3 linked regions of the Schizosaccharomyces pombe genome follow. The protein of the gene in region 2 interacts with the protein of the main gene of each other region in a biochemical or structural test. Each region holds a gene or a part of one and is shown on either strand. Other genes may lie near its edges. The genes, in order: cdc1, cdm1 and cdc6.

Region 1 (5,315 bases), on a different chromosome or scaffold from region 2:
ATGTGTAGTGGAAGAAAATTTTTATTTTCCTTCTTTCTTTTTCGCTTGACGAAACTTGTGTGTGTGTAAACGAGCTCGGTTTCATCGACCCAGCTGAAAACTGGCTACTTTTTTAGGGTACATTATTACATACAAAAGTTTCTTGCTTTCTTTTCTTTTTAACACATAATACCGAACTTGCAAATAGCTACTAGCGAGACCGTTATACGGCCAGTCAAGTCAACGCAAATGCTCATCATATACACGTAAAATATCATCAATTGGTTTGAGCCCAACGCAATAATGACTGCGAATGTTTGCTGTTAGATAGAACATTCCTTTTACTTTTTTTTTACTTTTACGGAAAAAGTATGTAGAAAGGCAAAGAAGGAGTTCTTTACACTCACTCGCAAAATTCCAATTCCACTTTCAATTGCAAAAAAAAATGCAATCCACAATTAAACAACCTCTAAGGAGAATACAGAAATCATCGCTTCCCACCTAATATATCTCACAGCGCATCCTAACGAATACAGTACCAAATTCAATAAAAAGACAACTAAAGAACGAGGATCAAATACGGTACTGCGCTACATCTCATAGCCGAGGTATTCTAAATAGATGCCAGTTAAGGTAAAATAAGCTTCCAAAAATGCAACTTAAAAAAGAATAGATTGTTGAAATGAAAAGTATACTTCTACAAAAAGGATGTTGGGAATAATTCTGTCATACCATACCGTGAATGTCGCAGAATGTTTCAATTTCAGTAGCACTGGCATTTTATCTTTTCTGACTTATTTTCAGTCCGGCTGTTCCCTTCTCTTTTGGTGTCCCTGTTGTCTTGGACAATTTGTCACCCCAAGGACCCTTGTACTTGGTTGTTTAAACAACTAGCTCGTTAGATTGGAATTTGCTTTTCGGGAATTCTGGGACTTGCTTACTCTCCGTAACCTCATTTCTTTTCTCCTGTCTCTTGCATTTCACACACCAATCCAAACAAGTTCAGCGTGAGGACTGCTTTAACATCCGTGATCGAGCCTAGACGGTTGTCCCAATGTTTAACAAGGAGCTCGATGTACTTTTTTATTTGGTCCGTTGACTTTCCGCAAACATGCAGTGAGAGAATACGGAAGTGAAGAGAATTTCGGTAATGTATCGCACGCACATATAGGAACAAGAACAATTCATATCCATCTATGTCTCTTCCGGTTTATCTGAATGATTTGTTGCTTTCTATTAATTCGTTAACCAAGCAACCACGAGGCCCCATCATTCTGCCAAATTGACTTTCACAATCATTGCACAACTATTGCTTCAAGCTCCCTACAAGGTATCCAGTGAGTATCAATATTTTAGCAGCATCGATTTGTTACTTACTGTTTGGAAAAAAATCGGGGCAGATGAGCACAAACAAAAAGCAACAAAACTCTGAAATTTTTATATAAAACATGGATTCTCAAACTCCGATCCCACAAAATCCCTCTACTGCTTTAGTTTAACCTCAGGGGAAGCGGAAACCGACAACTGTCCGCAGAACCGTTATTGGCTCGTTTGTTCCAAACTCTAGCAGTGCGAAAGTGAAATTTTTACAGTATGCAGGCAGGTCCTTCTTGCAAGACACTATAAAGTAAAAGTTTTTTAAACAATTCGACATTCCGGCGAATGTGAAAATGTAACTGTGTGAAATGTTGACTATACAAGTGCATTAAGCAAAAGATCTCATCGTAATTTTCGATCTTCAATTTATCAAACTTTCAACCGTTTTTAAACCGTATGACCTTTTAATACGTAAACAGTTTCTCATTTTTTTTATGTTTTACTGCATTAATCACACACAATAAGATTTTATTTCCATTTCATTCAAGTTGCCAAGTTATTTCTATTTAGTATATTAACAACTAAAACACAACTGGCTGGCTATGCAAGTAATTATTATTCTCTAACATAGAGATTCTTATTTTTTTTGGTACACAAGTTTATGAGTCGTTAAAACCTTTTTAAATCGTGCAACATTGATTCATCTCAGTATACTCGATTATCCCTGTGTTCGATATCCCGCAGCTGTAGCCGATACTGAATGTTAACAGTCCACAGTCTATTTATAGCTAGCTCTCTGATATCGGACAACAGGCAATACCGCTTCATTGACCTCTCGTGACAAGCGGCTTTTTTATAAAGGATGTATTGATATCTTTGAAGAAGAAGAAAATCGGCAAGTTTTTCATTTTACTTTAAACATTTGAATTTGGTTTTGCTATTCTTGCTTTTCCTTCTACAATACTTTTCCATATGGGGTAATAGTGTGACCGATCAACATTGCGTTATTTAATATTCAGATTTCAACGGAATAAAATAAAACCTCAATTTAAATTAATGTAGTTTTGATATACATCTTTAATAAGTAATATAGTAAGATACAGAAATCACCTTAACCATTTCTAGGGCACTATGTTGGCCTACCTTTCCTCCTATTAATTAACATAATGTTATTAATTTACAATCATCAAATAAATCGAAAACCCACTTTTTATGCTATAGGAAAGGGTTTGTAGTTCATTTACTTCGTTGGGGAATTTGCTTCTTTTACTTTTGTGTGATAAAACTCGATAGACTAAATATATGGATTCATCATGATTGTTCAAGGTTGAGAAAAATGTTAATTGTATGAAACGAAATAAACCCACATGATGTTTGTTCATCCTCAATTAGTAAACATTCACCTTTATTGAGCTTCTTTCTCTTTTCGTCAAGTTTACCTCTTTGTTTACATTTAAAAAAAGATGTTCTTCAAACACTTTATTGTTGTAGGTAACAACAGCTAGTCATGTTAGGAACCACGACTTTCTCATATACAACGTATTCTTACTTGTTGATCTGCTGCATCCAACTCCTTTGCTTATTCGAACCTTCTAAACCTGGTTCCATTCCATGAAATTGATTCCCCTTAACCTTGCATAGCACACCTTTGAAGTTCCTTACTCTTTACATATGCTGCTTGTGTAAATTAGTCAATAACATTTAAAGAACTGATTTTATTGAAAAAACAACAAAAGCGTTATTATATTTATTCCTCTTTTTTTTAAACAGGTGTTTTGGGGCCGTTCATAGGTTTTTTGGGAAATCATATAAATATATATATATATATATATATATTTTTTTCCGCACATTTACTTGCAATACTCGCTCGTTTTAGTAATTGCATGAATCGTAGACAACTCTTCACTCTCCATTGTTGTGAAATTTTTCGTGGAGCATCTCGATTTAATATCCTGACTACTCCTTTGGTAAGTGTTTAACTTACCTAACTGTATATATTTACAAAATAATCATGGTTGAAGTCAGACATTCAATTCCTTGTGAAGAAACTAAACGCTTGGAGCTTAGTTTAAGTCAGCAAACGTATAGTCAACAGTACGCCAGCATCTATTTCGCCCGACTTACCGCTCTTCGACCCAGAATCACAGAAGCCGCTTCAAAAAAATGGCCGGATAAACAGCGATTGGAACGCGTTTTAGATGTTAAGTCAGATGAAGACTGTTGGGTTGTCGCTACCGCTTATATGACTACAGCTCTTAAGCCAAACGTTATGAACGATGTCACACAACTTCATACAATTGTCACCACTACTGAAGAATCTCCGTATGTTAGCCCAGAAGATGCTGCTTCAGGTGATATAGAATATGCTCTTGAGGATGACTATGGCCGTATAGATTGTAGCGGAAGCTTTTTGTATGACGCTGGCGTTGTTACAGGAGTTGTTCTTGCAGTTTTGGGCCATGAAGATGAACAAGGTCGTTTCGTTGTCGTTGACGTTTGTTTTCCAGGCATCTTCTCTCATTCCATTCCAATGACTACAGATGAATCGCAAGCTCAACCAGAGTACATTGCGGCAGTCAGTGGCTTAGGTCTCTCAAATGACGGCATAGAAGGCATTCAAGTTCATCAGCTTGTAGATTTCCTAAGAGGAACACTTCCACATGTCTCTTCCTTTTCCCCTTCCTCCATCAAAAGGCTAATTATTCTCGGAAATTGCTTAGCACCTTCTATAGAAATTGCCGACTCCGCTTCTGCGTCCGTGCCCATTGGCAAGAAAAAAGTAAAAAGATATGGCTATGACACGTCTGCTTACAATCCAAATCCCACCTTCCAACTAGATAATTTTCTTGATCAAGTGTGTTCCAGCATAGATGTCACTTTAATGCCTGGTCCTTATGATTACAGTTCAACTATCCTTCCTCAACAGCCTTTGCATCCCGCTTTACTTACTAAATCAAAAGTTTGGTTGGGATCTTCTTTACAAACAGTTACGAATCCCACTTGGCTTTCTCTTGGCAATCATTTTGTGTTGGCTACTAGCGGCCAAAACATTAATGATCTCCGAAAATATCATCCCAAAAAATCTTCACTTCAATGCATGGAAAACACTTTACTATGGAATCATATCACACCTACCAGCCCTGATACCTTATGTAAGTAATCTGTACATTTTTCAAACGATATATTTGCTAATGATTTTAGGGTGCTATCCTTTCACCGACAAAGATACATTTGTAATGGAGGAAATGCCTGATCTATATCTTTGTGGTAATCAACCGAAATTTGGCTGCAAAACAGTCATTAATGAGGGAAACAGAATACAATTGGTTTCCGTTCCCGAATTTCGTAAGACTGGTGTACTTGTTCTCATAAATATGCATACGCTCAACGTAGAAATTATTCAATTCCGCCCCATGTCAGTCAAAGCAGAGACTCCAATTACTTCTTAATGCAAAATATCTTGAATATTTAATCATGTATTTATTAAATAAATAAGTTTTTTCTTACTGTTGTCATCATAATTATCTGATCTACACGTCTCATTGAGTTCTTTTGTCAAACAAATGAGAATTATTACCACTGTGGAACGTGAACTCCGTAGGTTCAAAAACGTTAGTTGCATTCTGTAGGGAGCGCTGGTTTTTAGGAATTCCTAATTGGTCTAATAACTCAGTCGACTTGGTTGGCATTATAGGTTGTAGGAGAATTCCGCTAATGCGTAGGCTGTGAGCTACTAACATTAAAGTGTCAATCTTTTCTTGAGAATCATCTGATAATTTCCAAGGTTCTTTCAATTGAAAAAGCTTAGTGACTCTTCTTAAAACAGACTGAACAAGATTAATAACCTCGTAAACACACCCACCATCTATGCTTTGCGCGCAAACAACAGGAAGTTCTATAAGTTCGTGTACAATATCTTCGTATTCTGTAAAATCATCCTTTTTATGCCATTGCTTCTGTATTTCATTGGAAATGAACAGTTTCTTCGATTGCAATCGAGAAAGTAGCACACCTAAAGA
Region 2 (5,654 bases):
TTGGTCAACAGCTATAGTGCTAATATATGTTAATATCCATCGCATTTGTATCTATGGAGCAAAATTTTTGGATACATTCAATGAAACCCGCCAAATATACCTATGCTTAAGTAATTGCTTTAGTGCAACCCTGCATGTGGGTCTTCTGGTTGTCTTTCGGGATCAAGTTTGATACTAGTATCGATACGTAAAATAGCAATGCATGCCTCAACGGCGCTCTTCAAACTTTTCAACTTAGACATGGATGGCTCAAGAACACCAGCCTTAACATTATCACGAATTACGCCATTAAGTAAATCAAGACCATAATTTTTGTATCCCCGTTTCTTAACATCTGTAACCTCAGCATTTTGACTGGCTGCGTGATAAGCACGCAACTTAGCTGTCAGTTCAGTAGAGTCTTTGGCGGCATTGACGGCCAAAGTTCTGGGAATAATTAACAAAGCTTGTGCAAACTCAGCAATTGCAAGTTGCTCACGAGAGCCCAAAGAGGTAGCAAAATTTTCCAAGTAAATGCTCAGAGCTGTTTCCACAGCGCCGCCACCAGGAACGACTTTGCCGCTCTCAAGAGTGCGTTTGACGACGCTTAAAGAATCATGCATTGAACGCTCCATTTCATCTAAAGAGTATTCATTGGGGCCTCGCAGAACAATTGATGCAGACGAATAAGCTTTGGTTCCTTTGACAAGAATACATTCATCATCCGAAAATTTTTCTTGAACAACCTCTTCAGCCGAGCCCAAGTAGGAACTTTCAAAGGTTTCTTCACCCTCTAAATTTGACAATGAACTGAGTAAGGTAGCACCGGAAGCCTTGGCGATACGTCTCAAATCTTCCTTTTTGCATCTACGAACAGCCATTGCGCCAGCTTCAATAATGGATTTCAAACAGAGATCATCAATGCCCTTTGTGGTAAGAATAACATTGGCACCCGCATTGAGAATTTTTTTGACGCGTTCCAGCGTAATCATAACTTCTCGTTCACGGATCTTTTCAAGTTGATCGGGGTCATCAATCGTCACATGCACACCTAACGCCATTTTAGTTTTTTGCAAATCCATATCCAAAACAGCAATTTTAGCATTCTGAACACGAGTTTTCATAGCTTGACTGGCAATGGTACAATTTAAAGCATAACCTTTAACCAGGACGGACTCTCGAGAACTTTTGCCATGTGCCTTCAAAATGTTGACAGCTTTAACAGGGTAACGGGTCTCACCCTTAGAATTAGAAGTTTTGACGGAAAGCATTGCGTCAACAGCCATGGTTGAAAAAAAGTCTGAATCATTACCAATAATTTTTGAAGACATACTGGTTTTGGCAACGTTAATAAGACTCTCTTTTCCCAAACTATCTACGCTGCAGCTCAAGACATCTGTCATAAATTTTACGGCTTCACGGATAGCAAGTCGATAACCGGTTATAATAGTAGTGGGGTGAATTTTGTTTTTGACAAGCTCATTCGCACGTCTCAACAATTCAGCCGCAATAATGACAACACTAGTAGTTCCATCACCTACTTCTTTGTCTTGTTGTTGAGCTAATTCAACCAGCACTTTACCAGCAGGATGTTCAACATCCAATAATGATAAAATGGTAGCACCATCGTTTGTAACAGTAACATCCTAATACAAGTTAGATAGAAATAAAAGAAAGTAAGAAAAAATATAATAAAAGATGAACTATAATGGCAGGAATACTTATTAATTCGATTCACAATATAAGGTTGACTCTTCCCTGCCAATTAAGATTTCCTTAAATGCGAGAAGATTACAACACTAGCGTATCAAATCAATAAATATTGGTTAAAGGCCAATATCCCCCATTATTGTCTAAAATTTTCTTTTCTTCACGAGGTCTTTAACATACACCAATATCGTCAACGAGCATTTTGTCTAACCCGACAGGACCCAAGGATGATTTGACGACATTCGCAATTGCGGTCGTTGCCAAAACTAAAATGTTAAAAGTTATGAAAAGAAAATTAACATACCATTTTGGTTTCGTACGTCCTCTCCACTGATTTTTTCACCACTCAAAACTACAACATGTTAATAATTTACCATCCAGCGCAATATTGGATGCTTACAAAGAGTGGATTCTCTCGGTGCTTGAAACATTTCAGCTAGATTCGATGTTCTCCTCTAAACTGATTAACAATCTTTGTTTACACGTTTGGCAGACGTCGAGGGAGGAAGGTTCTTTGAAATGTACTAAAAGCATTCAAACCCTCTAAGTGTTACCTCATATAGCGTAATGTTACCCTCTTGGTGGAAACTAAAATTCTGCAACACAAACTACCTGTGCACTATTTGCAGCATAGGGACAATTAACAAATTCAATAATTTTGATTTACGAAGGATGTCTTTCACGTTTGAAAGCATTATGTAAATTTATCGACTGCATTAAAAAATATAACAATTTGGTTGACTACACTGTATTTAATGATAGTGCAGTTTAATCATTGAGAAAGCCCGGTCAGTTTGTTTACCACTGTATAACTAACAGTTTAAAAGCCCTTAAAAAAAGACAACTTAATGAAACTAGATACTTAAATTACTAAAAGCTGTAAGGGAATTGAAGTTTCAACTGTCTTTGTGCTTCAATTGCAGTGTAAAAAGTTACGCTGTTTTAGCAAAGCACAAAAGACAAATTTTGCAATACTCAAAGCTATTTAACTATAAATTTTTTAAATTTTGAAAATGTTAATAAGTATATCTATTTGCATTTACGAAATTGCCTATTTTAAATCGGTAAAGACCAAAACCCTTTTTAGAAACGTATTAAAGATATGTTAGGAAGGCTGGCAAGTGATTCAATTGCATGACCAAGGCTGGATTAAGACAACACGTATTGCTAAAATACTTGTATCTAATTATGAAATTTCCACAATACTATCTGAACTAATAACGAGTATTGTTTACTTCTTGTTTGCTCCAACAACGAACTAGAAATACCGAAATAGGGGTCGTCAAGAAGTTTCTATTTTAATAATTATCAATAATGCACTTAAATACTTGGACCTAAATGAATAATAATATATATGAAGGCTGATATATGTATAACGATAAAGAACGAGCGGATGGCTGGATACTTATTTTCTCGTCAGCGTGACGCATTTTAAACATCGCTATAGTAGTCATCTAAAGTTATATATACATATTAAAAGTACACTTGCAACCAAATGTACTTTTTCAGAGATTTCTTTTGGCCAAACAAACTAATGCTCTAAATTGAGTAAACACGAAAAAGAATTGGATTTATAGTGCACCTTTCATTCTAGTACCGCAGTGTTACAGAATTATATCACGCAGTATGAAGAAGCGCACTACTCAAGCGAAAAAATCAGGGCAAAACACTAATATTCGCGACGTGTTTCCACATGTAGTTCGAAGTAATTCAAGTCAATCCCACATAGGGAAGAAAGTGAGTTCTGAACAGTCGCCTACACCCGATGTTACAATTACAACCAAAACCTTGGATGAGAGAATTAAAGAAGACGATGAGCTTTCAAAAGAGGTAGAAGAGGCTTGGAATCAAATTATGGCTGAAAGGATTAGTGAACCAATACATTGTGAAAATATAACCAAAGTAGAGTTCATTTTGCATCACTTTGACACTACGGCAAGATATGGACCATATCTTGGTATGACAAGGATGCAACGCTGGAAACGTGCAAAAAACTTCAATTTAAATCCTCCAGAAACAGTGGGAAAGATATTGATGCTCGAGGAAGCAGATGAGGAAAATCGAAAAAGAGAATCGCTCTTTTATGATCTTCAAACCATTCCAGGCTAGATTATTTTTATATCTTACATTTTGTAGGTCTTTAAGATGAATCTTGACCCGTATTCTCTGCAGTACTTTCGGCTTTCTCACCTAAAGAAGGTATTGGTTGTTCGTCTGCATTGGGTACAGTCCCATGAACTCGAACTTGATACAAGCATGTGTAATTGGGATTTCCCCAGTTGCTTTTTATTTTTAAGATCACATTCTGTATCGGTTCAGCGACAATATAATTGGAGGATTCAAACGAAAAAGTTTGAATAGAGTCTTCCGTTAAAGAATATCTCGCCTTTCCCAACAATACAAACATCTTGCTGGACATTCCCTGAACCCACAACTCAAAGTCCTTGGGAGCGCTAGAAAGATCATGAGCAATCTTGTGCTGAACGTGCTCTATTGTGACATTGGTTACATATACAGGGCGTGATAGGGAAATTCCTAATTGTCCCTCTGAACCTTGAAAGCTCCAACACATCGCAACTGCGTTGTTGGGAGTTAATGCTATGCTAGGTTCGTGTCCTCTAACAACGAGCGAATCAAAGAAATAGGAGGTAAATCGTGGTATGAATGCAGATGGTCGTCTCACATAGCGTTTTGAGGTTAAGGCAGGTAGTACTTCCGCTCCTGTTGAGAGCAATGCAAAATTCGGCATGGAAACCGGATCGGTCAAGTATTTTCGAACCGTAGATTCGATGAAGAACTTCCAATCGTCATTTAGTTCAACTTCAAATGGGACCGATGATTTGTAATTAGACATCTCCTCCTTTAGCGACTGTTTTAATTGCTCTACTTTTTGTTGTAAAATCTTGTCAAATTCCTTTTTTGTAATTAAATCTCCCGTCGAATAATCGAATTCCTCATTGCCGCCAACTTTAGAAGGTGAATCTGTGAAGTCTTTAATAATATCTGGCTTTAAACTTGTTTTGGTGTCATTGGATGCAGGAGGAATGTTTGGTACGGGCGAATTAGATGGTTGGGAATTATCTGATGAAAATGATCTTGAGTAAAATTCTTGACCCTTGTGAAGTAGAGTAATTATTAGGAGAGTCGAAAAGAGAGTGATACCGAACCAAAGTAATGGTTTAAATTTTGAGGAATAAAATTGAGATTTCCTTGTAGATCTTTGATTCATCGGGTACCTAAAACTGGCATTTGTTGCGGTGGTATCCTCGTTCAAGCTATACCCTTCATCATCACTTTCCTCGTCGATGCTGTTTTCGTATTCTTCATTGACAAACTCTTCATCATCTCCATCTGATTCATAGAATACATTCGTCGAAGCTTCGTGTCCATTTTTCACTACGTTTTCAAATTCTTCGTTATCAGATTCCTCTTGCTCGTATCGAATATTAGAGTGGTAAGCCTGTTCGAAATTGGGAGCTGGAAATCTTTGTTTAGGAGTAATTGATTCAATGGACACCCTGGTAGGAGGGGACCTTATCTTTGTATAGCGAAGTTTATGCATTTTGGAGGCCAAATCAGCCGTATTTTGATGAATCTGAGCAGAGTTCGCTCCTAACGTCGACCAAGCTGGATGAGCGCCATTTTGACGCTCTCTTTTCCCTCCAACCGGTGTATTAGTAAACATTGATGTATAAAAGGCTATTTGAAAATTAAAAGAAAAATATACAAACGAATCAGTGATAAATAAATATGTAAAAAGAGAGACAAAAATTGAAAAGAGAGTATTGGAAGGCGAGAATTTGAATTAGTGTTCGTATTCAAAAAAGTGAAGCTTAAGTAGGATTCTGTAATTGAATGCCTTTTTGATCGCTTTATGCGAATGTATAAATTATTAATAACAGACGAATTATCGTTGACGCCTTTTTTATGTGAAAACAGATACCTATACACACAATGTATGTAAT
Region 3 (9,897 bases), 440 kb from region 2:
TCCGCAAAACTGAACATTTAATTAGCACTAAATTGAAAAGGGCACATGGTGGAATAGTTTACAAATTTTCTGCTACGCGCGGCAATACCCACTGCAAAAGCATAATCTTTTCTCTGACTAAAAGATTCTTTTTAGAATAACAATTGCGCAATTTGCAAACTACTCAGAGGCCAACAGAGATGAGGATTCTTTATGAAAGTATAATCTTAAAAAGGTAAAATGACTTAAACAATTATTACTAAACAAACAATACATTTTTCTGCTTGTTTGAAATTAGACTACATTAAATGAGCTAAGGACATAAAATGAGTATTCTATATTTAAGGAGCTTTTAACTAATAAAATATACTATCAATTGTGTATTAATTTTAATGTCAGGCGGTATAACAGTCGCGGAGATCTAACTAGCTTACCGTAATATAGTGTGCAGAGATTATGCAGCTAGTAAATAAGCAAACCCGTTTTATTATGTATCGTACTGCAGTAGTCCAGATATGTGACATTTCCTGATGCTCTACCATTATTAATCGTCAATTGAACTCTTTTACAAATTAATATAAATTTATAAATCCAAATCCTTCTTTTTTCTGCACTATTTTCAATAACTCATAAGACTACAGCTCAATTTGTCAACTACAAGTATTTTTGCAAAGTTTTGGGAAAAACTCCCAAGTTTTACTAAGTTTTACTATTTTAAAGCTATTTTTGAATCTTCGCATTACGAAATGGGTGGAAATAAGCGTGCATACTATGCAGTAGCGCGTGGTCGAAATACTGGTATATATAGTACATGGTAAGACTGCGTATCTCAAGAAAATGGTTTCGTTGTTAAATATAAGTTTCACGTTAAGCAAGTTTCGATACGGTCGTATGCTTTGCTTCAATTCAATCTGAATCGGTTTTTTCAAGATGATCTCTTATTAACATTTCCTTGATGGATACACCTTGTTGTTTAACAAACTCTTACTAATTTTTAGGGATGAGGCGTCGGATCAGGTGAAAGGTTATGGAGGTAATCGCTACAAGAAATTTGACAGCTATGAGGCTGCTCAGGAATTTTGCAGGACCGAAGGAAGTCGCTACTCCTCGTCTTCTGGCCCATATCGCCGCAGTACAACAAGTTATGGGTACTCTCCATATTCTTCTAGTTCCTCAAATTACTCTGCTAGACACTCCGATAAATATAGAAAGAAAATTTCTAGAAGTTATAGTACCGAAAAAGATATTGAAATATTTTCGAATGACACTCATGAAAAATCAATTGCGTGCTCGGATCGACAGGTCGTCTATGCTGACGGTTCTAGTTTGCGAAATGGGAAAAAAGGAGCTGTTGCTGGCTGTGGAGTTTTTTTCGGAAATGATGACCCAAGAAATATTTCAGTACCGTTGGCTGGGGAAGAGCAAACCAACAATCGTGCGGAATTGCAAGCCATAATCCTAGCCCTTGAAAATACATCTGGCGATTTGACCATCCGCTCTGACAGCAATTATTCCATTAAGTCACTAACCACATGGCTGCCTAAATGGAAGAAAAATGACTTTAAGACTAGCAATTCACAACCTGTAAAAAATTTGGATTTGATCAACCGCGCTTCAGATTTGATGAGTGACAGAAATGTTTCGCTAGAGTACGTGAAAGGACACAGTACCGATTACGGTAATCAACAAGCCGATATGCTTGCTCGGCGAGGAGCTTCTGAGTAAATGGTCATCTATGATGAGCGCTGTAAAAAATGGATATAGGTACATTCTTTTGAAATTTGCCGTATAATTTTCGTCTACTCTTCGCTGGTTGTATGTGCTTTTTTTGTTCTCGTTTTGCATAATGCTACATATTTTATTGTAATTAAATATCATGCTATTATAACAATTTTAAAGAGGAAATTGAAAAGTATAGATTCGGAGCTAAGATAATTTTATTATTTAACGTTGAAAATGACACTTCGCACTAGTCAACAATTCCCTTTTCAATTAAATTTGGTTCGGTGTCTTAACGGCAGTCATCGAAATCATATTGCAATGGACTTAGCAAAGAATTAATAACAATTCGCTTCGTAATGAATTTGAAAAGGCTTAAATAGTGGTTTTGAAACGAACATTCACAGTTAATAGGTAGTTATTTGACTAACGTGAAGAAAGTGTACCAAAAATACTTTGAGTTTAGACAATGGGTGTCTCTAGCTTTTACCCACCTTTGCATGTACAGCGTCGAAGGAAATTATTTAAAATACTTCAAGGAGGCTTCCCTGTGCGATCTTTGTTAGACATTGGATGTGGAGATGCTCGTTTTCTATCATATTTAGTACCTTGCAATGATCAAGTGCCTATAGAATTTCTGGCCGGTATTGATATTAACGAACAAAGTATTGAAAGAGCTACTGAGGCTTTACAGGTTAGAACCGAAGACTTTTTACAACTACGTTGGCGACCGCTACATATTGAATTATTGCTTGGTAATATTAAAGATTTTACTCATTATAAACATGTTGATGCGGTTGTAGCTTCAGAGTTTATTGAGCATTGTCAAGTTGCAGAGATTTTAGCCTTTGAAAAACTTGTTTTTGGAAACTTGAAGCCCAATGTTTGCGTAGTGTCAACTCCGAATTTTGAATTTAACACAATCTTTGAGAAACTATCAACCTTGACAAGTAGTATATCATCTCGTACTTCTACCAATTTTAGACATCCTGAACACGTTTTTGAATGGGATCGAAAAGAGTTTGCTAAATGGGCTTATAAAATTTGTAAAAGATACCCAGAGTATACTGTTGAATTTACGGGCTGTGGTTTGCTAAATGATCTAATAGATGGTGACGATTTGTTACATTTTCGCCCATCATCTACTTACGGTTTCTGCACCCAAATCGCAGTATTTCATCAATCTAAAAACAATGCTGCTTCTCATTGCTTCTTAAAAGACCAAAATTCAAGCATCCTTCTTTACAAAAAGATTACATACCCATTTATGGAGCAACTATTTCCTCCAACAGTGCAGCAATTTATGAATCTTCTGAAAAAAGCATTTTTTGATCATTTATTTGGACGTCACTGTTTACTTTTATTCCAGGTTATTGCTGGCAAGTGTGCTTTGTCAGTAAAATTACCTTTCTTGTTTATCTGGGAGTCTTCGCCTCTCATTCGACATGCCTTCCATTATGATGATTCAATTTACTTATCATATTGTCCTGAATTAAAAAAAAGCAAACATAAAGGTATAGCTTTGGCAAACTCGTTTAGTTTTCGCATTGCAAAAGTACTTAAGAAAAGTAGAATTTTTATTATAACTTTTCATCATTACGTTTGATATACACATTTAGTAATTAAAAACATCCATCTTTTTCACCAGGACATTTCATCAAATCTTTTCAGTAAGTCAACAGATTGCTGAAGTTTCTTGTGTTCTGCAATTCGCATATAAAATATGGGGCAGTCTCTACTGGTACAAATGACGTCTTGATGCATACTTCCTTGGCATCGCTGACATTGAGTCCATAAGCGAGCAAAACGAACTTCTAAATCATTCACTTGAGCAACCTGACGTTGATACAGTTCCGCCGATCTATTTAGACAATTCTCACATAAAGCAGTTTTACCTTTTTTTATGGGAGCTTTGCATCCAAGACAGGTCTCAACCTTTACTGCGAATTTCATTATTCCTCCAACACTGGGGGCTGCCATGGAAATCGTCCGAGTATGGTCACCATGAAGTAAAGAGCTAGCTTTTTCACCAAGAATAGGCTCAAAAATTCTAAGCAAAGGTTTGGAGAGTTGATTTTCCAAATAATATTTTGCATCAATAGGAATGTTATTTTCCAATACATATATAGGGTCCTCCGACCTCATATAAAATTGATCACCTTGTGCACCTTTAATAATAACGTATGCAACGCGATCTCCTATGGCTGGGGCGGAGCCAGCATCTCGTTTACGCATTCGCTCAGCCAATTCAACGTGTGCCATTTTGGCAGCATAATCAGTTTTTGATAATGCCTTTGTGATTACAAGTTGTGACATATCAATTTTGTTTTGTAACAAATCGGAAATAACTTTTTTTGTAAACAACTGTGCACCCTCTACATCCTGATCAATTAACATTTTTCTCAAAGCTGTGTCAATCACATAAGATACTAGAGGACAGTTATCTCTTCTGACAGTTTCTATTCCTTTAGAGTCCATTTTATCATAAGTATCTGTACGAGTCCAAAATAATCCTGCATAACGTTTTTTGGAAATTAAAAGATATGGAAAGTACACTTTCTCAAACTCCAGTTTAATAGGATTCGGAAACTGGTCTGAAACATAATTAGCTGCTTCCTCTCCTAATTTCATGGCTTCAGGTAACGTTTTAACGCCAAACTTAACCATAACAGAATCAGTGTCACCATAGATTACAACTGCATCGTGAGAGTATCCATTCTCAATTCTGTATCTCTTTTCTACAACATCCTTGGTTTTTTCAATCATTTGTCGACCATAAGAGGTAACAGAAGAAGAAATTGCTAAACACGGCAAACGTCCGTTGGTAGCACCAGTAAATCCATATACTGAATTAGCACTTACTTTTAAAGCTAGCTGTCTACCATCCAAAACAGCCTTTTTGAATGGGTCCGTTTCCTTTTTTAGATCTGCTTTTGCTTTCTTACGTGCATTAAGTAAATCAGCTAAGATAATAGGGAGTAGTCCTTTACGAACATGTGGTTTAACGAAATAATCTCCGTTCGGAGTCACTGAGTAGTCAACATCTTGCTTAAGTTTTAATAATTCTGCAGTATTTGAGTCAAGTAATGTCGTATAGCATAAATTATGGGCTTGCATAATCGAAGGATAAAGTGAACTAAAATCCAGTGTTGCAATAGGGGTATCATAGTATCCTTTAATCGGTTCAATGACTGTAGCACCTTCATATTGCTCATCTGTTCCATTTACACGTATATTTGGAACAACTAGGTCATGTTGAAGAGCTTTGCGAAACAATTGAGAAATAACTTTAATCTGTTGGCCTCTAGCAAGAAGAAAATTAAACGGTACACCTGTTACTCTTGCCATTTCAGTATAGTTAACAAAACACATTAATTTGTCCATTAAGCGTTGGGGTAAATATGCATCTTTCAGACAATAAATAGCTAAACGTCTTCTAGAATCGGCAGTGCCATTTTGCAAGTCAGTGATGATAGAATAGTGTACATCTTCTTTTTGCTCGCCTAGAAACTGAGAGCAGACTGCATTTAAAGAGTAAGATCGAAGCTTAAAATCACGCTGCATTACTTGTAACATATCAAGCTGCAAACGCCCAGGAATACTAGTGGTTTTGCTTTCACGAGTACCATATGCTTTACTTGAAAACGTGGTTTCCTTTGCGACAGAAAAAAAATTATGAATACGGCCAAGTAATGGGAAATTGTGAATGCGTAAGCTTTTTGCTCGATCCAAGAGGTAAGGGATATCAAAGTTGCAGATGTTGTACCCAATTAAAACATCTGGGTCAACATCACGAACAAATTTTGACCAACTTGAAAGCATTTCAGCCTGATTTTGAAATTCATATACTTGTGTTCCAACGATTTGTGAGCATGTATCAACACAAAAGACATTACGAACAAAAGGAGTGGAGTCTCCATACTGCGTTACTATACTTGCAATTTGAATTACAGGGTCAATAGAGGGATCAGGAAAAACGCCTTTGCGACCTGCGCATTCAATATCAAAGCTCATGATCCTCAGTGGGGCCATTTTAGACCACTGGCCTTCAGCTGGAAGACTGATCAAGTCTTTGTAATTAATCCAAGCTTCAATTTGACAATTAGAAACTCGATTCTGGTAACGAAATTGATATTTTGAAGCAGGAAGATGAATCCAATTCATACCAACAACATCACAGTCAATCATGAATCTAAGAAGATATTGCGTATTGCTCTCAAAAGTAGTGACACCGACACCAACAGGGAAAAGCTCTTCGAAGTTGAATTCTCCTCTTTCAAATACATTTCGTGCTCGAGATAATATACGAGGGTTAGTAGTAAAGATTTTAATGAATGGAGATTTTTCATTTCCCTGAAATCCATATAAATTTTCCTTCATCTCTATAATGCAATGATCGATCACACCCCCATTACAAGTAGCATCTAAATCTTGTGTGAAACGTTCTAGCATCTCAGGTCGAAATCCAACCGGGGCTTTAACATAAAAGTACGGAAGGAATCCCACAACATGAACAAGGATGCTGTTTCCATTGTCAGTAACACCAAACAAACGAATTGAAGGTACAGATCCTTCTGTGAACTCCTCACTATCGATTTGCTGAAAATAAATATCATCCTTCTCAGGATTTATTGCAGGTAAAGCTGGTCGTTGCCACTGCTGATCTTTTGAAGCTATCAAGGAGTCAGTATACTAATAAATGGTTAGCTATCCAAAAAACCTTACATTTTATTTCATCTTGGTCCAATTGTGAAGCGTATTCAGCCAGCTCATCCTCAAAAGATGAAGTTTTTTCTTTTGAGGATGAGCCCTTTTTATCACCATATCCATTTCTTTCGCTTAAACGTCGCCGTTTGACATCTGTAATTTCGCCATGAATTGAACCATTTCTTCGGGGAAATGGATAGTTTTCTTTATTTAACACGACGCCCTCATTTGAAGACCTATCTGTCATTCTAGTAATTAATTTTTTATTTATTATGAAAATTAGAACAGAAAATGGTAAATAAGGAAGACACCAAGCTTACATGCTCTTGGTTTTTGGTAGGAAGACGAGCAACTAAAAGGGTTTTGTAGGTAACAACAAATAGGTACTTAGGCGAATATCTTGTAGGTAAGTTCAAAGCGTACACCAATAAATTTTGGTATGAGTGTCAACTGCTGAAAAGGTAAAACCACATTAAATAGGTTAGCTGTCAAATTACGATGGAGAAAGAAATCAAATATACAAGTTTATACCAATCTCCATCAAGCTACATAAACCACTACTTAATGTATTCTTGGGCATAACAAAAGACTAATTTATTATTAATGGAAGATATTAGTAATAAAAAGGACGCAATTGTCCAAAAACAAAAAGAACTAGATTCCAAGCAATAGGAATTAAGAAAACTGAGCAGAGTCATCAGCCTACAAACCGACAATTCCGATAATTTATTCTGAGACTTTGTTTACCAACGCCTAATGAATAATACAACATCAAGGTCATGTCAGTTAAACCAATACGATAACATTAACAGTAAATACGTAAAGAGATAGATTAAAAGCTGTGTCTGAAAGACAACTAAAAGAGCGAACCCTATACGGGCTAAAACCAAAACGGGATTTTAAGAGAGGGGTAAAAAATAAGATTTAAGAAGAACGAGGTTCAAGTGAGAGTGATTTATCAAATAAATAGGACAGATCTTGGTTAACAAAGCGACACCGATGTAAAATATAGCTTTGAAGATCAGTATTAGATTGCATTTCGTAAGAGGAGGATTGGAATCGGCACACATCTGCGACGACATCGGCAAGTCGATGCCGCTTATTAAAACTTAACAGATGTGGAGATGAATCAAGAACATCGGGGTTACCTTCATCGATAAAAGTCAAGTCACTTAATATGACACCCAAAAACGGTACGCAAGGAAGTTCAGCCTTGCGAAGTAAAGCACGATAAGTACTGAAATTTTTCTTTGTTTCCACGATTTCACGTAAACCAGACAGACATATTATGTCTTCAGCTTTAACAAGTTTGTACGCTGCATGTAAACGATAAATAGGAGCAGAATTTAAGGCAGAAACAATAGACATTAGAGTGGAAAAGTTTTGGAGGGACAAGCACTTGTAGGCAGTTTGTATAAAAAAGGATATTACTGCTGTACGAGCTTTGGTATTCTTTTTCTCTAAAATACAATTGATTATCCAATAGGTGAAACAATTCGAAAAGTTTATATAATTTCGGACAGCGCTGCGAGAATCGCGACTAACCCAGCTTCTAAATATCCATTCCCTCGAAGGAATCTGCTTTAGATAATCAAACTCCAATAATGTCATCTGGGAAGCAAATTCTTCAGGAGTATAAGCATATACGTTTAAAGAAATAAAAGTAGCCATGGGAGAAGATAATAGGCGTTGGGTTAACGAATCTGGAGGCTCTTCAGTCCAGAGATTGTCAATTTCCGATAAAATTACACTGCCAATATGAAAAGATGGAACAACATGGTCACGTAAAAAGGTACGCATCTCCGAAATCAAATAAAGAGTGTTACGGGCTTTTAAATCTTCAAAAAAGTATTTTTGAACCCACAAATTCATAACGGTGCAGACGTTCTTCTTGGTAACAAAATTATCTCCCTTTTCCCAAGAACTATATGCTGTAGCATCTAATCCTGGTGGCGGTAACTCGTGAAACAGAATGACAAGAAGCGTAAACAATTCCTGGGGGGTAGTGAACGTTTTATAAGTCAAAAGAAACGAATGGCGAAAATCTTTGTTCAAGTGAACGTTCTGGACAAGGTAATGCACGAGGGCCGGTAAAGTTCCACCTTTAACATTGTTATCGCTTTGCACAACTTTATTGGTTAACAAATTATCCAGCATCAAAATTGATTGCAAAGAGTTTCTGCCAAGTGTTAAGGTATCCTTGCTCATCTCGCTAACAGCGGTAAAATCAGAACTTCTAGAAATTCTAGTAGTACCTTTGTTAGTTTGACGAGCCGGTTCGTCATCTTTTGCTGTGTTTGCATTTGAAAACTTGTTTTCAAACTCTTTTGTTGCTAATTCCTGCATCTCATCGACGAGAGCAGCACGTACTTTAAGAAAATCACAAACATTTTCAAATAAAGTTTGGAAAGCCACAGCAATGGAAGCAATCATTGTAGGCATTGTAGAAAAATCGTTTGAGTGCTCCATCATCAAGTCTTGAGATGAACAAACCAGATCAGTTAATAAATCATAACAACGTTGCTTTGTAACAAAGTAAGATTGGACTGCAAAGTTTGTAGCTTGCTCGCACTCACTTAAATCTTTATCAAAGTATATCGACATATCCCAACTTTCAAGTTTGTTGAAGATTTGTTCAGAGTGGCTAGTAATTGTGGAACAAATTTCAAAGACATACTCTTCATCGGCAAAATCAGAGAAGTTTTCAATAAATTCATCACAATTTTTCAATAAAAACCATACGCACTTGTCGAGTTCGGGTAGGCAAGGCTCAAGCAAGCGTGTTCGATATGCTGATGAAACAGCAGACAAACCATTGTTGGTCCATTTGCCCCCGAAAGGAGTATTGGGAACAAAAGAAGGGTAGTAACAAAAGCGACTAAGGTATAAACTATTATTTGCACACAGAGTAAAGAAAAATTGTAAATGGTACAGAAAATCCTCAGCGCTTTGCTGTAAGCGGGGAAAAGTGTGGTCTGGAAAAATAAAAGCACGATTCGAGAAGGTCAGTACAGTTAATCTCGAAAAGTAGGGAATTATCTTATCAAAATGTAATTTAATGGGGTTTTCAAACTCAAAGTTTTGCAAGAGATTGTGTTGGAGAAGATAAAAAGTCCCGGTCTGCTGGCAGAGATTGAAGAGTTCTTCTTGGAGAGAAAGAACGAGTGATGGAATGCTCAACGCATCTCTAGATTTTATAGCAGAAAGTAAATGAGTGAACAAATAAGAGAATTTTTCATAAAAAAGAAAGAGATTAATGACTCTGTCATTAAGGAAAAGATCATCAGAAGAAGGAAGGGGGAAAAAAGGACTATTTACGAAAGAAGAATTGGGTCGCAAGGAGGACTCGGTTTGTAGTAATGAGTTAGATGAATTTGACAAAGATGAAGAATGGTTAGTACGCACAGGACCAATCGAACATCCAGACAAGGGCAAAGAATGAACAGACGCTTGCATGTCTTCAAAGGGAGATGAGGGAGGAGTGAAATCGCT

The links.
Region 1: the proteins of cdm1 (region 2) and cdc1 form a complex in vitro, tested with the Schizosaccharomyces pombe proteins (one study listed by BioGRID).
Region 3: the proteins of cdm1 (region 2) and cdc6 form a complex in vitro, tested with the Schizosaccharomyces pombe proteins (one study listed by BioGRID).

What each region holds. Positions count from the first base shown.
Region 1 is NC_003424.3:4,011,743-4,017,057, forward strand, and holds cdc1 (DNA polymerase delta small subunit Cdc1), read left to right. Parts: upstream 1-3,307; coding exon 3,308-4,448; exon of another isoform or gene 4,449-4,497; coding exon 4,498-4,745; 3' UTR 4,746-4,815; downstream 4,816-5,315. Other genes in the region: SPOM_SPAC27E2.14 (uncharacterized protein), read right to left, coding at 780-869, 921-935; msm1 (methionine--tRNA (Met) ligase), read right to left, coding at 4,836-5,315.
Region 2 is NC_003423.3:2,303,902-2,309,555, reverse strand, and holds cdm1 (DNA polymerase delta subunit Cdm1), read left to right. Parts: upstream 1-3,182; 5' UTR 3,183-3,315; coding exon 3,316-3,798; 3' UTR 3,799-3,829; downstream 3,830-5,654. Other genes in the region: chaperonin-containing T-complex alpha subunit Cct1, read right to left, coding at 120-1,625, 1,870-1,955, 1,994-2,041, 2,090-2,120; protein Sad1, read right to left, coding at 3,830-5,374. UniProt on the Schizosaccharomyces pombe protein: Appears to have a role in the stabilization of the DNA polymerase delta complex.
Region 3 is NC_003423.3:2,740,598-2,750,494, reverse strand, and holds cdc6 (DNA polymerase delta catalytic subunit Cdc6), read right to left. Parts: upstream 6,734-9,897; 5' UTR 6,653-6,733; coding exon 6,424-6,652; intron 6,372-6,423; coding exon 3,340-6,371; 3' UTR 3,305-3,339; coding exon of another isoform or gene 2,168-3,304; 3' UTR 1,899-2,167; downstream 1-1,898. Other genes in the region: ribonuclease H Rnh1, read left to right, coding at 726-793, 978-1,704; hen1 (S-adenosylmethionine-dependent methyltransferase), read left to right, coding at 2,168-3,304; Ras guanine nucleotide exchange factor efc25, read right to left, coding at 7,330-9,897. UniProt on the Schizosaccharomyces pombe protein: Catalytic component of DNA polymerase delta (DNA polymerase III) which participates in chromosomal DNA replication.